2 linked regions of the Styela clava genome follow. The protein of the gene in region 2 interacts with the protein of the main gene of each other region in a biochemical or structural test. Links are inferred from orthologs where the notes say so. Each region holds a gene or a part of one and is shown on either strand. Other genes may lie near its edges.

Region 1 (7,677 bases), on a different chromosome or scaffold from region 2:
ATACGTTTCCCAATGCTGCAACTGGTCTGTCATCCATCAAACGTTAGGTCCTGGGATTACAGCACTTGTTTTAAAAACATTGTTTCCCGCCTGTATGCGAGTGAGTGAGAGCAAAACGATGTCTACACTTCGCGACCCCTAAAATTCGTCGCTCGACCTCTCGCCCCCCAGTTTGGGAAACCCTGATTTAGATATCTCAGTATTCAGACTGAATCACGCTTAAAACAATATCGGTATACAATCTTACACCCATTAGTGCATATTAGCAACCTATTAATAACCCCATTATTTTTTAATAGCAGTTTATGAAACTGAAGTTTCTTTTTTGATTCAAATTTACAACTTAAAAAACAATTCCTTCATTTATGAATGGTGCAGAAATTTTCGCACAAAAAATTTTGCTATTCACTGTAAAATTTTAAATAAATTGGAGCAGATTTTGTAGAAAAATGTAATTTAACAGTCAAAAAAGTACAACAGAGGAAGATCTATTGCTGCTAAGCGAATTGTTCGTCTAACGCTAGCCTACAATGGGAATATCCAATAAGGGTATAGGGTACTCCTGAAGTATGCGCACCGAGATGTCGCATAACCTGAACCTTAACCTGGTACACAACCTGAGTTCAGGTTGTGCGCCATCTTGGTGCGCATACTTCAGGAGGTCCGGGTATAGATATGACTAAATAAATTGTCATACATATACTTGGGACGATTTTACAAAACTGAACCTGAGTAAATGATTTTCCTGTAGCCAGCCTATACTGCAACACGCGATACCTAATTCTAATAAAAAAGAAATATTGAAAATGAAGGGTGGGTTTTCAAGGTAGATGAACCACTAAATACATATTTGCCATCTCATATGCAAAAATACTGCACCTTGTTTTCACTCAGATTCTTCATATTTTTAAGCTCCCCAGTAATGAAAGTGTTTCATCAAATTTAACTGTTCCACAATATTATTTTGATTTGTGGTTCATCTTGTGAAATATGTATGTGGCAAAATGTTTGCGACCAGCCGGGCTTTCAGATTTATGCTTGCGGCCCTCGTGGTAATTTGAGTTGTGCATGCCTGGTCTTGTGCATACATCCCTTCTTCCGTATTGATAATTACTAACTGGTTTATATTGCTTTTACGAGACGAATAAACATACATACATGGGAACGGGAGCCACTCGTCCAGTTACCAGTACATATCGGGGATGGGATTAATTAACCAGTTAATTGTTTTAGACGACTTTGGCGGGGGAGAAAGTCGTGACTACGTGTTGAAGATTTATTAAAACTTGGGATTTATACTCTGATGTTTTTATCTTTATATATCAACTCCTTAGTTGCTTTGACGAAGTATTTGCGAATAATAATACTCGAAATAGAATAAATCGCGATAATTTTGTTATTGTTTTTGAAACATTTATTGTAATTTTATTAGCCGTATGTATGTATGTTTATTCGTCTCGTAATAGTGATATTATTAGTTCATTATTGCTGTTTGATTAAGTTATATCTTGTATTGTATGAAGAAGTTAGGCCATGATCTAACGAAAGCTCACAAATATACTTACTATTCCGTTGAAAGAGATCATGTTATTTTTACCTATTATTATTTAAGACGGAATGCCTGCACAAGACCTACTGGCCTAAAACACAAATGTGCGGCATGCACCCCTTTTGACAAATATGAAACAAATAACGTTAGATTAAATATGTATAATATTGTCCCTTATATAGACAGTTGCCTTCGTGCATTAAGGACATTCTACTCTTTAGACATTATTTTTCATATACAAATGGTGGGGCTCCCGAAGTATGCGAACCAAGATGGCGGACATCGGAATGTAATATGTGTACTAGGTTAAGCCATAATTTTAGGTATAAATACTACGGGAGGCTCTTAGATAGTCTTCGAACTGATAATAGGACTAAAATAAGGAAAATTGGAAAAAAATTATCGCCTAACCCTAACCAGTTACCCATGTTACGTTCCGATGCCCGCCATCTTGGTTCGTATACTTCGGGAGCACCCAAATGGTGCCATAGAAGATGAGAAAATAATTGCAGAGATAAAAAAAAATACCTCCGATTGAATAACAATGTCATCATGGAGGCAACAAACCTCCATTATTCGGGAAACGAGTTCCAACCACAGATCTGTTCTCTTCTTGCTGCATAATTTTATTGTTTATTACCTTTATATGGTTCCCTCGTTGGATCATCGATTATGCAAACTAGATCATTCAATAAATACTAAACTTATCATGCTGAGACATGGTGACAATAAAATCTATTCTCTCAAGCGCTAAAGAAATTACCCCGACCTTTGATCCCCGAAATATTCTTCCAATACTTTATCATTGCAAAAATTTTGGGGCTATTTTAGGAGCGCTTTTGCGAGTTAGCGCCTGTAAAATGGGGTATGTGTTTCAAACCATCATTATGATTCATCGCATACAACAATCTGTTTTTTAAAAGTACCGGTAAATAATTTCAGGCTAGTCTATCACAGATATTTCTACACCATTTTTTTATTACTACAATTAAATTAAAACTCCTAGGAAGACATTGAATTATTTGATTTATATTCAAGTTTCCGAAACACAACTGAAAACTAACGAATAGAGTTCAAAAACGCGAAAACGAAGTAATGTTTACGACCATGCTTGAAAATCTGTCTGAGTGAGAAAAGTGTCTGAGCGGATGCGAAAAGGGAGCATTGTTACGTCACTTTTTGCATCTTGTTTATTGGCCAATGTTACGAAGTAAACAAGGAAGTGGATGTTCGGATGGAAATAAGTGGATGCAAATAACATGCCTAATTAACAATACGTGGCGAAAATATTAAAATACACAGTAATTATTATCCTTATGTAATCGCTACCGTTCCAATCCAAGACTACGCCATCGTTAAACTTGTAATCACATTATTCTACGACGTCCAAAAGACAAAAGTTCTTTACCTCACATGATTTCCTTTGCGCAATACTGTTGATGACGTGTAGTCTTGCGACACGAATGAATCAGAAGTGACGTCGTCGTCTGACGAAACTGATACGCAAAACGAAGCGCAGGGTTAAAGTCAGCCCAGCATTCATACATCAAAATTGTCAAATAAACAATTACATTCGAATTGAAAAATCCTATTAAAGGGTTACAACATTAAAATAAAAAATTTTCAGAATTGTTCGAGCAAAATACCCAAGCACTGACTTATTTTCAAGATAAAAATTGTAAAAAAACATGCAGTTTTGAGCTCTGTAAGGCATTCTTACTACTATGCCGGGCCAGGCGTATTGTACGCATGCGCCGCATTGCGCAACTCGTTTGCGGTAGGTTACCTTGAAAAGTACGAACAATGTCACAGATGAAAGACTCGCTGTAGACACTTTTCGCGAGGCAAAAGGGCGGTTTCAAGTGTTGAATTCGCGCAATACTATTCGCGATATACCTTTCACACTTCCATCTGTGTTAATAAATTAATCGTCTTCAGCTGGCAACTGGTCTATACATAAGCAGAACCGCAACTGAGTGGGCGTCATTATTTCCTTGTGACGAAATAGTAGTCGTATGAAAGTCAACTATGATGAAATAATATGTTTAAATGTGATGTCACAATTATGGAAATAAATTATTTAATTTATGTTTGAGAACGTAAACATCAAGGATTAGAATTTTGTGTTGTTGCTGTGATAGACATTAAATTACTGAATTCTTAATTTATATGGTCAGATAGCAGGATAGGGAACGATATAATCATAATACTACATTAGAGAATACGGGAGTGAGGCATAAAAGTAAGCATATGACTTTGTTTCTATTAGTTATTTCAGTAATCAGATATGCTTATTTGGGTTATCATATTCCAGTATTCAGTTAGCTCTTTCTGTCTTTAGCTGTATAAAAATATGGAGGAATTTGTAAGTCTTAAGTCATCTCTCAAACAAAGATAATGAAGTTAGGCTTTTCCAAAACCACTTTTATCCAATCCTGGTCTTCTTTACTATTTGTCTAGCCTAATGTTTTTTTACCAAATTGCTGCCAGTAAAACCAAGACTTTCTCTATATTAATGTGTTTATTTTACTTGAATACAGTACCTACTATTGCTAGACTTGCTACACTCACACAAAATCATTTTGTGTAGTTGTTATGCTAGTACTAGATTTTCTTTTATATCAGTACCGGTATTTAACGTTAACATATTCATAGCTATTATAATTCAGACAATATAAGACAACTAAACTATTGCAGTATTCAGGCATTGCACCGGGGCTGCCTCTGGAATGGTTCATTGAAGTTCGCTCCGGGCTACCCTAAAATGCGGGAACTACGAGAAATGCAGTGAAATGACGGGAACTACGGGAAATCGCCAATACTAAAATGCGGGGATGACTGAAACTACGGGAAATTTCACAAAAAGCGGGGATGACAGGAAATCATTCCCTTAGTTCCTGCATTGGCATTTTCCTGTGGTTCCCGCATTTTAGTGCATTTCCCGACGTTCCCTGTCCCGCATTTTGGGGCTGCCCGCTCGCTCCAACTAAAAGATTGGAAAATACTGGTCTAGCCATATATATCCTTCTAAATTACACCACATATAACAAAAGACGAGACTTTCAATATTTCACTGTATTCATTTCAGTTATTATTTTTTATTTCTACCTGTAGCAGTGACTGCAGTAGCTCTTTCTTCATTAAATTAAATTCAAAACAGAAAAATATGGGCAAAAAAGGAGGAGACTCGACACCAAACCCAGAAAACGGAAAGAAGATTTTTGTTCAGAAATGCGCGCAATGTCACACTGTTGAAAATGGTGGAAAACATAAGACCGGTAAGCCTTGATTGCGTCTAGTAGACTTCAGTACAATTCTGCCCTCAACATTTATCTTACTTCTGGCTTTTCTTAGTATTTGATGTTCGCCTTTTTTTCTTCCATTATAATTTAATGTTGGACTTCCTCATAGGTGACGCTGCTAGATAACCATTACTGGTTTATCGCGTCACCTTTCACACTAAAATTCATTTTTTTTATCTTTTTTTAATATGTTTGTACAATGTGTACTTTCGGCACATGTAAAATAAACTACTGACTGACCAAATTATCGGTCCATTGCTAATCAAAATAATCGTATTATACTATGAAAGAATTTGCTCAAAGCAAGTTCATAAGCATTCACTCGTAAGCAAATAAGACTTGATATCTAAGCAAAGTTTTCGTATGGCCACTCATCTATAAGTGCTACTGTTACTAACTTGTTTCTGCTGAAGTTAATTGAAGTCGAATTGTACTAAACTTGACTAGACTCGTCTTTTTAACTGTATTTGATTCTAACCTGACATTAGGAAAAAGTGTATCATAACTATTGCCAATTACAGCGTGTATGAGAGTAATTATACAACACGTGTTATTATAAGTTTCATGTTAGAATTGGATAGACAATTGCTTGCGACACTCCGACTCCAGTTTTTCAAAGATCTCATGATGGTAAAAACGGAAATAAGTCAAAAAGCACTTTTGCCGATATAAGTTACTGCTTCTTACTTAAAAACATCTAGTCTGATGTTCCTCCTACAAACCCTCTTTTCAACTTCAATGACGACCATTCAATTGGTGATTGAGTCTTGAGTCTACACGAGTAAAAACATCTAATTTACCGAAAACTTAATAAAAACATGTTTATGTTTTATTAGGTCCCAATCTCAGTGGTCTTATTGGAAGAAAGACTGGACAAGCACCAGGATTCACTTACACTCAAGCTAACAAAGATAAAGGTGATTGTTGTTGGATTAGAAACATACAGAATAAAAACCTTTCATGGCTCACGGCCCTCTTCTGGAGACTTTAAGGCCTCATGGCTCCCGCTGATATACAATGATGGCAGGGAAAAATTGAATTGGGAATATTTAGTAAATTAATTATTCTTGAAAAAGAAAATTGTTGATTTTGAAAGCAATCAGATATCTTTCCATTTGAAAAGGTTATTTTGAGAAAGATGCGGTCTTCTTAGTGAAGCGGTATTGCATGTCAAATATCACATTTCAATTGCGAAAAGAGGCCTGTTTATTTATTTGTGTTAGTTGTAGGAAAATGATCAAAACTGTCGGAAACACCTTGGTCCTCTCAAAAACATGGTTCTCATATATCAGTGCCATAACCTTACTCTAAGTAAAAATGGGAAATAAATAATTGGAGGTAACAGTACTTTTAATCTGCAACTGTTTATTGAATAATCGTTATTTAATTTTTATTTTTTACAGGTATTACATGGGGTCCAGACACATTAGAAATCTACCTGACAAATCCCAAGAAATATATTCCAGGTACGCTGATATTTATAGTAAAGTAATGCAATAGTGTATTGGATCACCAAGAGCTGTATTTGTCTATGTGACTGTTGATAATGAATAACAATTAATTTAAATACTAATTAATTCAAAACTTTCAAGAGGATTGATGCTGCTATATAAGAGACGAAACAAGTTGGTACTGTGAGGAAAACGCTCCATACATCTGGTACTGTTATCTGTTTCCATACCCAACTACGACCCGGTGTCCAGATAAGAGGCAGTTGTCCAATTCACCATTATTAAGGTCATTTGAAAAATTTGAAACTTTGTCACCCAGTCTGAGCATATCCCGATACTATGCTAGTGAGATCTTAAAACCAGAGTTCGGCTTTTCACTTCTCCCTAGGTAAATATGCCACCTTTGTACCTCTTTCCTCTATCTAAATATGCAGTCTAAAAATGTAACTCGCAGATCTGAAAGAAATCCAAAGACAGTTTTATCAGCTTCCTCTCCCCCCTGGCTAATTGTGTCATTCACAGATTGTAAACCTAGGAGAAATTCTAAAGTCTTTTCAGCTTTCCCTGGCCAAATTCACTTATATAACCTGACACAAACCTAAGTAGGTGTTATCTACCCCAATCCTGCTCTCCTCTGCCCCAATATTGATATGAAAAGCCTTATCCTTACGCATAATAACTTGTATTTTTCAGGAACGAAAATGGTTTTCGCTGGAATTAAGAAGAAACAAGAAAGATCCGATTTAATCGCGTACCTTACTGAATCCACCAAATAGTAGAATTTTTGCACAATTTTTAGAAGTTAGGAAATATAGTAATAATAAATTTAATGTTTGGTAAATAGAGAGAAATTGAATTTTGCTTGTTCTTTCATTCGAATAATTTGGTATTTTCTAGTTAAATTGTTAAACTTTCTGTAATCTAATATATCCATTTTGGGTCACGATTGTAAAATGTTAAAGTAACAATATTTGATTGAATTATCGAAATATATGTTTCAAAAAGCATTGATTTCAATTTTTCACACCCTAAATTCTTTTACCTGTAGTTAATTTGGTCAATAAATGTCTTCTACTAATAAAATATGATATTGTGACTAGGTGTTGCTTTGGTTTCAATTGCTAAATCTTTATTGCTGATGAAATCGATGTATTCCAGTTCTCGGAAGTAAATTTTAATTTTGATGCTTTTTTCATGCTGAACCTTGCTGCCGCCCCCCTGTCAAGAAATGGCCATTCTGTGCGAATTTCTCACAGATTTCAATGGCGTATTTTCCGTTTTCTTCCTCGGAAAAATCAGCCAGTTGGGCCATTTCTTGCCGGTCTTTTCATTATATTATTTATTGCTTGTATAGGTTTTGCTGTGCTGTCGAAAT
Region 2 (6,274 bases):
GCCACATGATCATGGGTTTATCTGGATCTTTACGAATGTCTAATTAATTCCAGTAATGCAAAAAAGTTACTTTTATCATTTCATGTATAGATCAGTAAAAAAACAAATGACAGATTTTTTCGACAAGACATTTCGCACTACATTGCGTGGCATAGGATTGCTTGAATTATTATTGATATTGATTTTTAGTAACTAAGTCGTTGTATAATTATATTAATATACAAACACATGGAAATTTTCTGTTCGAAGTTGGTCTTCGAATTTGTCATATTGACTGCTGAGCTTATTGTGTTTTTTGATTGTATTGATGGAAATATGACAAATTAAACAATGTGCTTCAGAATTTTGTGAAGAGCAGAAATGTTACAACTCCCATTTTCTTCGAAAATGCCACCTTCTTCATGTACTTTGCGTTTAATTTAATTACTCAAGTGTTTTATTCAAGTATTCTTTTGCTAGCTTGATGTGTATTCTTAATTGGGTCAAAATGTGGACAAAAAAAATCAATATTCCAAAACTACTTTCAGTAAATTGTTTTCTGTGTGAATACAATTATTGTTAAACGTTCGAGGGCCGCACTGGAAGTTCTCTGGGGCCGCGAGTTTGAGATCCCTGGCCTAGATTGAAGTTGTTCAAAAAATATATGATAGTATTTTATCATGAATCATGATTATACCCCTTCCGGAATTTCTTCTATGGTACTACCAAAAGTTGATGAACCAAATATAACACAGGTGCAGTGAGGTACCCGTAATCCTCATTTCCAAAGCTGTTTTAAGTATGTCTGGCGTGTTTTGTGCCTTTTTACAAATAAGACCGCTTATGCAATCTTACGCTTTGGAATTTTTAGTTATTTTCCTCAAGCCCTGCAGGATGTGGGGGCCATACACAACTCTACCGGAGGGTCAAATGTCTTTGCATGCCTCCATAGGTTGTTTTTCTATTGCAATTTTCTATTTTCAAATGCATTATATTTCTTGGAATCACACTGTCACTGATATGTCGCCAGACTTCTGATATCTCCCCGTCTGCTATAGTTTTCCTGTGAATAAATAATAGGAAATTGAGATTAGACGAATAGTTGAAAGTTTTGCTTTATGTCGGCTTAATTTCTTGATTGATATACTTACTATTTCTGCTATTGCCTCTTGTGCTGCAAGAGTCTCACAATGCTTAGACAGGTTTGTCCACAACTTTCACATCTGAAGAAAGAGAGGAGATTTATTAATTTTCGTTAAGAATAAATAAAGCAGTCTATATGATTCAGAATGGAAAAGCTAATAAATCCAATATCTCATGTTTTATTTAAAAAATATTTTACTGGATTTGGTATATAAACCAACTAATAAAAGGGTTTAGTCAGAAAATTACAAGCATTCGTGGCTCCAAATACTTGGGAAATCAGACTATACAATATAGACCGGTATGAGTGAAATGTTAGGTGAACTTGTTAACACTTTGATTCAATACGCAAATAAAAGTGAATGCGTAATAGTATGTTACAATGAGCAGCAATCAACAATGAGTATATATCCTCAATGATTAAAAAAATCTAACTGGAGGTGCATGAACTATTTGAAACCATAAGGGGTAAGTAAATATGTAATTTCGGCAAATGGGCAACTACGTACCGTACTGAATTAATAACTTCGTAGTATTTGACAAAGGCTGGCTTTCCCACATGTACTTAACAGTGCGATGCCCGGGTGTGATATACAACAATAGTATTCACCTTACCTTTTACCGATTTCTTTTTACCCAACTTTCAAAAATATCATTAAAATCGACAACAACTGTCAAAGCATGCACGAACACCATTCGTGCTACGCCTTGAAAACAGCACACATCCGCTCGTTTTCGTCTCGTCAAGTATGTGCATTGGAGCGTGCTATGGAATACCATCTTCGGACAAAAATGCCGGAGTTGCGCATCATGTTGTTTAATGTCATTGATATACCTAATTAACGATTAGAAGATCGATCAATTTGGCAATGGCAACCATTACAAAAATATCAATATGGTGTGGCAGATAATTTTCTTTTCTAGTATTTATTTATTTATTTTTTTGTTTACTGTATAGTATACCCTAAATTTATCGCGTTTCATTCTTACTTAAATAACTTCTCAGTGGTTGTGTGTGTGTGTGGCTGGTGGGTGCATGTGAGCGTGTGTGAAATAACTTGATAATTTTAGGTGAGTAAACACGTACCACTTCCTCTTGGCAAAACCTTTCATCTTATATTTTGTACGTTGTAAACCTTATCTAAGGTTTTGTTTGCTTCCCTGATTTCATAATCAGATTTTATTTATTTGTTTTTATCTGTCAAATGTATTGTTATGCTGATTATGGAGTCGAAATAAACTTATACTTATATACGTCGTAGGGTGATCACATGGTAGGTGACCGGATTCCTCGACCATCAATTCCATGCATCTGAAAAACAAATAAATGGCTAATTAATCCTATGACCGACATGGACTGGTAACCGAATGAGTGTCCGTGGTTCGTCGTATATCGACTTTCTTCTCTCGTGGGATAAATTTGTATTAACCGCAGTCCAACTCTCGCGTATTCAGACTCCGTGCACTACCGAGTCACGTAAGGCCATTTACAAGGTTAGTTCCCTTTTAAATTTCCAGAAAGTTCAGTCTTATTTCTTCTGCTGCGTCTATTATGTGGTTTATATCGGTGCAGAACCCGTGAAATGAGCTACGTAACCTTCTACCAGCCGCGTACTGTAATTTGCAAATAGATGTATGCAGCAGTAGCACCGGCAACCGACCTGGTGGTACGATCTTTCGGGTGTTGCGTGCCTCATTGGCAGCCCATGTTTTTTTTTAGGTTTTTAGAAGTATAAGTTTATTTCGACTCCATAATCAGCAATAGACGATAAAAAAATAGATAAAAGTAAAAGTAACTGATTATAGAATCGGGAAAGCGAACAAAACCTAGAGTAAGGTTTGAAACGTACAGATTTTAGATGGAAAGGTATTGATAAAAGAAGTAGTACGTGTTCGCTCACCCAAAAGTAAAAAAAAAACTAATTAAGGCACGCACGCACACACACACACACAATCATCGAGACATGATACTGTCGGAAGCGAAAAAAGCGAGACTTAAAAGTGAAAAGGAAGGAAAATATATTCTACAAACAAATAAAAAAAAATGAATAAATTCTTTTGCCACACCAAATTAATAATTTTATGAGGATTGCCAAATTGGATACCGAATTAGTCAACAAGAGTAATGTATTGTGGATAGAAAAGTATTCCTCAAAAGATATCGTCAAGCTGATTATAATTCAGTAATTGGAGTCACCTAATGCCAAATTGCCCAATCAGAATTGCCAAGTTGGATGTATGAAGAGGTGGGCTAGGCCTGCTTCACTCATCAAATAAAAGCCACAACAAGCCAAATAACGTCCAAATTATTTTAAATAATATTAATCAATAACAGTACCGGGGGTCTTACTACTTACTGAATACAGCGCGAAACACCGCAAAGAACGCGAAACAGCGCAAAACAGATGAAAACAGCGCGAAACAGAAGGAAACCAGCGCAAAACGACTCATCGGAGTCGGCACAGCCCTATCTATGAGTACCGTACCTGAGCTATCTAATAACATCTTGCGTGGGCCAGGCTTAAGCTATTTTTTTTATTATAAAACTTGTATTTTTTTGAAAGTTGTAAATCACTGCAGTATTGACAGACTGACATAATAATAACGTAATAATAAAATTATTTGAGTGTATAATACTCTATTATATCTAATCCAATCTACTCTATCCAATACCTGTGAATCTTATGCATAACAGTGAATATGGGGGGAGCTGACTTGGATGACCGTATGGTCGTATCGCTCCCTCCAGTCTTTACCATAAACAAGAGTTTATTTATTTGTATTTAAGCTTTTATATTTGTTTTGGTTGACGAATCAATAAATCTCTCTCTCTCTCTCTCTCTAATAATGCCTAATAATTTGAACCTTAAATACAAACTCTAGCTCAGCGAGGTTTATTGAACCCCCATCTTTTGAAATTTCAGGAGGACTGAAAAAGCTGCTAATAAAGTGTAAACTATATTTCCGCAAATTCTCCCTATCTCGGAAGACTTCAATAATTATTTATTTTCTCGTTCGGAACTTTGCGAAAGTGGGAAAAAAATGTTAACTTAATATGTGATCATTGCTACTAGACGCTAATCAAAATCTAAAAAGTGAATTCGCAACTCAAATTTCTGACCGAAAAAAAAAGTGTACCATTCAAATATCTATTCCTAATTCTCACACTCGTCTCCCTAATTATGATGATATATGAGCTATGAAATGATTGTAAATATAGTATTCAATAATTCATTTTTGTAAACTATGCTCGCAGACCTTGGTATTTTTCTAACAGCCATATTTTGAAAAAAATCATAGTACCAGTGTTAAAACAACAGCTCAGCTAAAAAAAAAGAATCAAATCCTGTTATAGTCCGGCAGTTTATCACTATTTTTATGTACGAGGGTTGCCATGGTATTATAGAGCATTAATATAATACTTTTATTTTGTCGATATAATGGTGAGTTAGGTTCAACCAACACAATTAAATTAATATGGCTATACATTTTAAATGCATTTTAATTAGATGTGTGGGTCATGGATTGAATATTTTGAGCAACAAAAAATCCATTTTCACTGATAAAGTCAGCTATCTCGACCAGTGGCCTGAATATAGACATGTCATATTTTTGCGAAAAGTTGTGGGGAGGTGCAACCTTTTCTGTTAAATCGGGATTCAGTTAGTCAAGTTTTCTGAATTACAAATTGAGTCAAATTTATTTAACCTGTAACATTCAAAGCTTTTGCTTCCTTTGGACTGGTTTACCTTTTTTGTCTATATTTGTCAATTGGATATCAAGACCTCTAATAATGATGCTTAATATTATTAGTTTTTCAATTGAACAGTTTTGTAGCACAGGTAATATAATAGGAATACAACCATGGCATCCCATCTACTTCGTGTGACAGCTTCCCGCCTGGTTGCAAGAAGACTTCTCAGCACTTCACAACCTGTGCGAGTCGCTGGTCCAGCAATGACAGATGATCCTAATGTCAATGTATATTTCCGTGAAGACATGATCAATCCTTTACCCCTGAAGCCTAGACTTTGGTGCACAACCCCAGAATTGAAGGCTTTGAAGGCAAAAGAAGCTGGAAATTGGAAAAATTTGACAGAAGAAGATATGAAACAACTCTATGATGCGTATTTCGGTATGAGAATCTCTGACATGGAAAGACCAACCGACAACTGGAAGAGCTATGTTGGTGTTCTTTTCTACATTGCTGGTTTCACTCTCTTCCTTCATCTCTTTATTCATGTATACATCAACCCTCCCTACGTGTCTACCGTAACAGATCAAGAATGGATAAACGCGTCGATCAAGAAAATGATTCAGCAACATCAAGGAGATGTCACTGGGTATTCCTCCAAATGGGATTACGAAAACAACACATGGAAGAAATAAACATTTTTGTTTCAAAAACTTTCAGACCAGTGTGCTTGTATTAATTGGATTTATTAGTAATATTAAATAAATTTCCATTGCATTCAATTTGATTAGTGATATTTGTAACTTACATTGGCTTATTGATTTCATGCTGTTGAATAATCTATTATATTTATCTTATTTTGGTCTAACTAAATTACAATTGCTATTTGCTGGTTACTAATGTTACAATATTTTAATCCAATTGTGTTTGATGTATTTAGACATCTTAGTCTTAGTGTATGCCATTTGATATATTTGTATAGAGTTTTTCATATAATTGAGTCTTCAACAAACCAAACAACATGAGTGGAAAACTGACGGTCAATAAAATTACAAACTGTTCTGATCTTACTATCAAGATGGACAAAGCCACAATAGTTGGTAAGTATATGAGAAACATTAGGTCTTTTTACTCATGAGACCTTATCTCTGATATTTTTAAATATTAATAATAGGCTCTTACACCGAGTGAAATATATATTGTTTATTTATTTGTTTACTTAAACCCTTTATATTATTATATAATTTTCTAATGTAATCCCTTCAAGATTGTGTTACGAAAAATACTAGATATAACCATCAATTTAGTTTTTATCATAAACCAAATTATTTTCAGATGTGAGTCAAGGTTAGTCATAGCAATGCTCTCATTTGAAACACTAGAATATTGGGCAAAAACATAGTAATTCAGACAGCATGATTTGGTTGAATGATCATACAAGGTGGGGTAAAAATTCCC

What was found. The genes of interacting proteins can lie anywhere in the genome.
Region 1: the proteins of cytochrome c oxidase subunit 4 isoform 1, mitochondrial-like (region 2) and cytochrome c-like form a complex in vitro, tested with the Homo sapiens proteins (4 studies listed by BioGRID). The link is inferred for Styela clava from reciprocal best matches to the Homo sapiens genes COX4I2 and CYCS.

Annotation. Positions count from the first base shown.
Region 1 is NC_135262.1:1,983,781-1,991,457, forward strand, and holds the start of cytochrome c-like, read left to right. Parts: upstream 1-4,663; 5' UTR 4,664-4,715; coding exon 4,716-4,827; intron 4,828-5,687; coding exon 5,688-5,768; intron 5,769-6,254; coding exon 6,255-6,317; intron 6,318-6,995; coding exon 6,996-7,078; 3' UTR 7,079-7,677. UniProt on the Homo sapiens protein: Electron carrier protein. The oxidized form of the cytochrome c heme group can accept an electron from the heme group of the cytochrome c1 subunit of cytochrome reductase.
Region 2 is NC_135251.1:27,352,056-27,358,329, reverse strand, and holds cytochrome c oxidase subunit 4 isoform 1, mitochondrial-like, read left to right. Parts: upstream 1-4,918; 5' UTR 4,919-4,986; coding exon 4,987-5,511; 3' UTR 5,512-5,757; downstream 5,758-6,274. Other genes in the region: uncharacterized protein LOC120335673, read left to right, coding at 5,838-5,916. UniProt on the Homo sapiens protein: Component of the cytochrome c oxidase, the last enzyme in the mitochondrial electron transport chain which drives oxidative phosphorylation.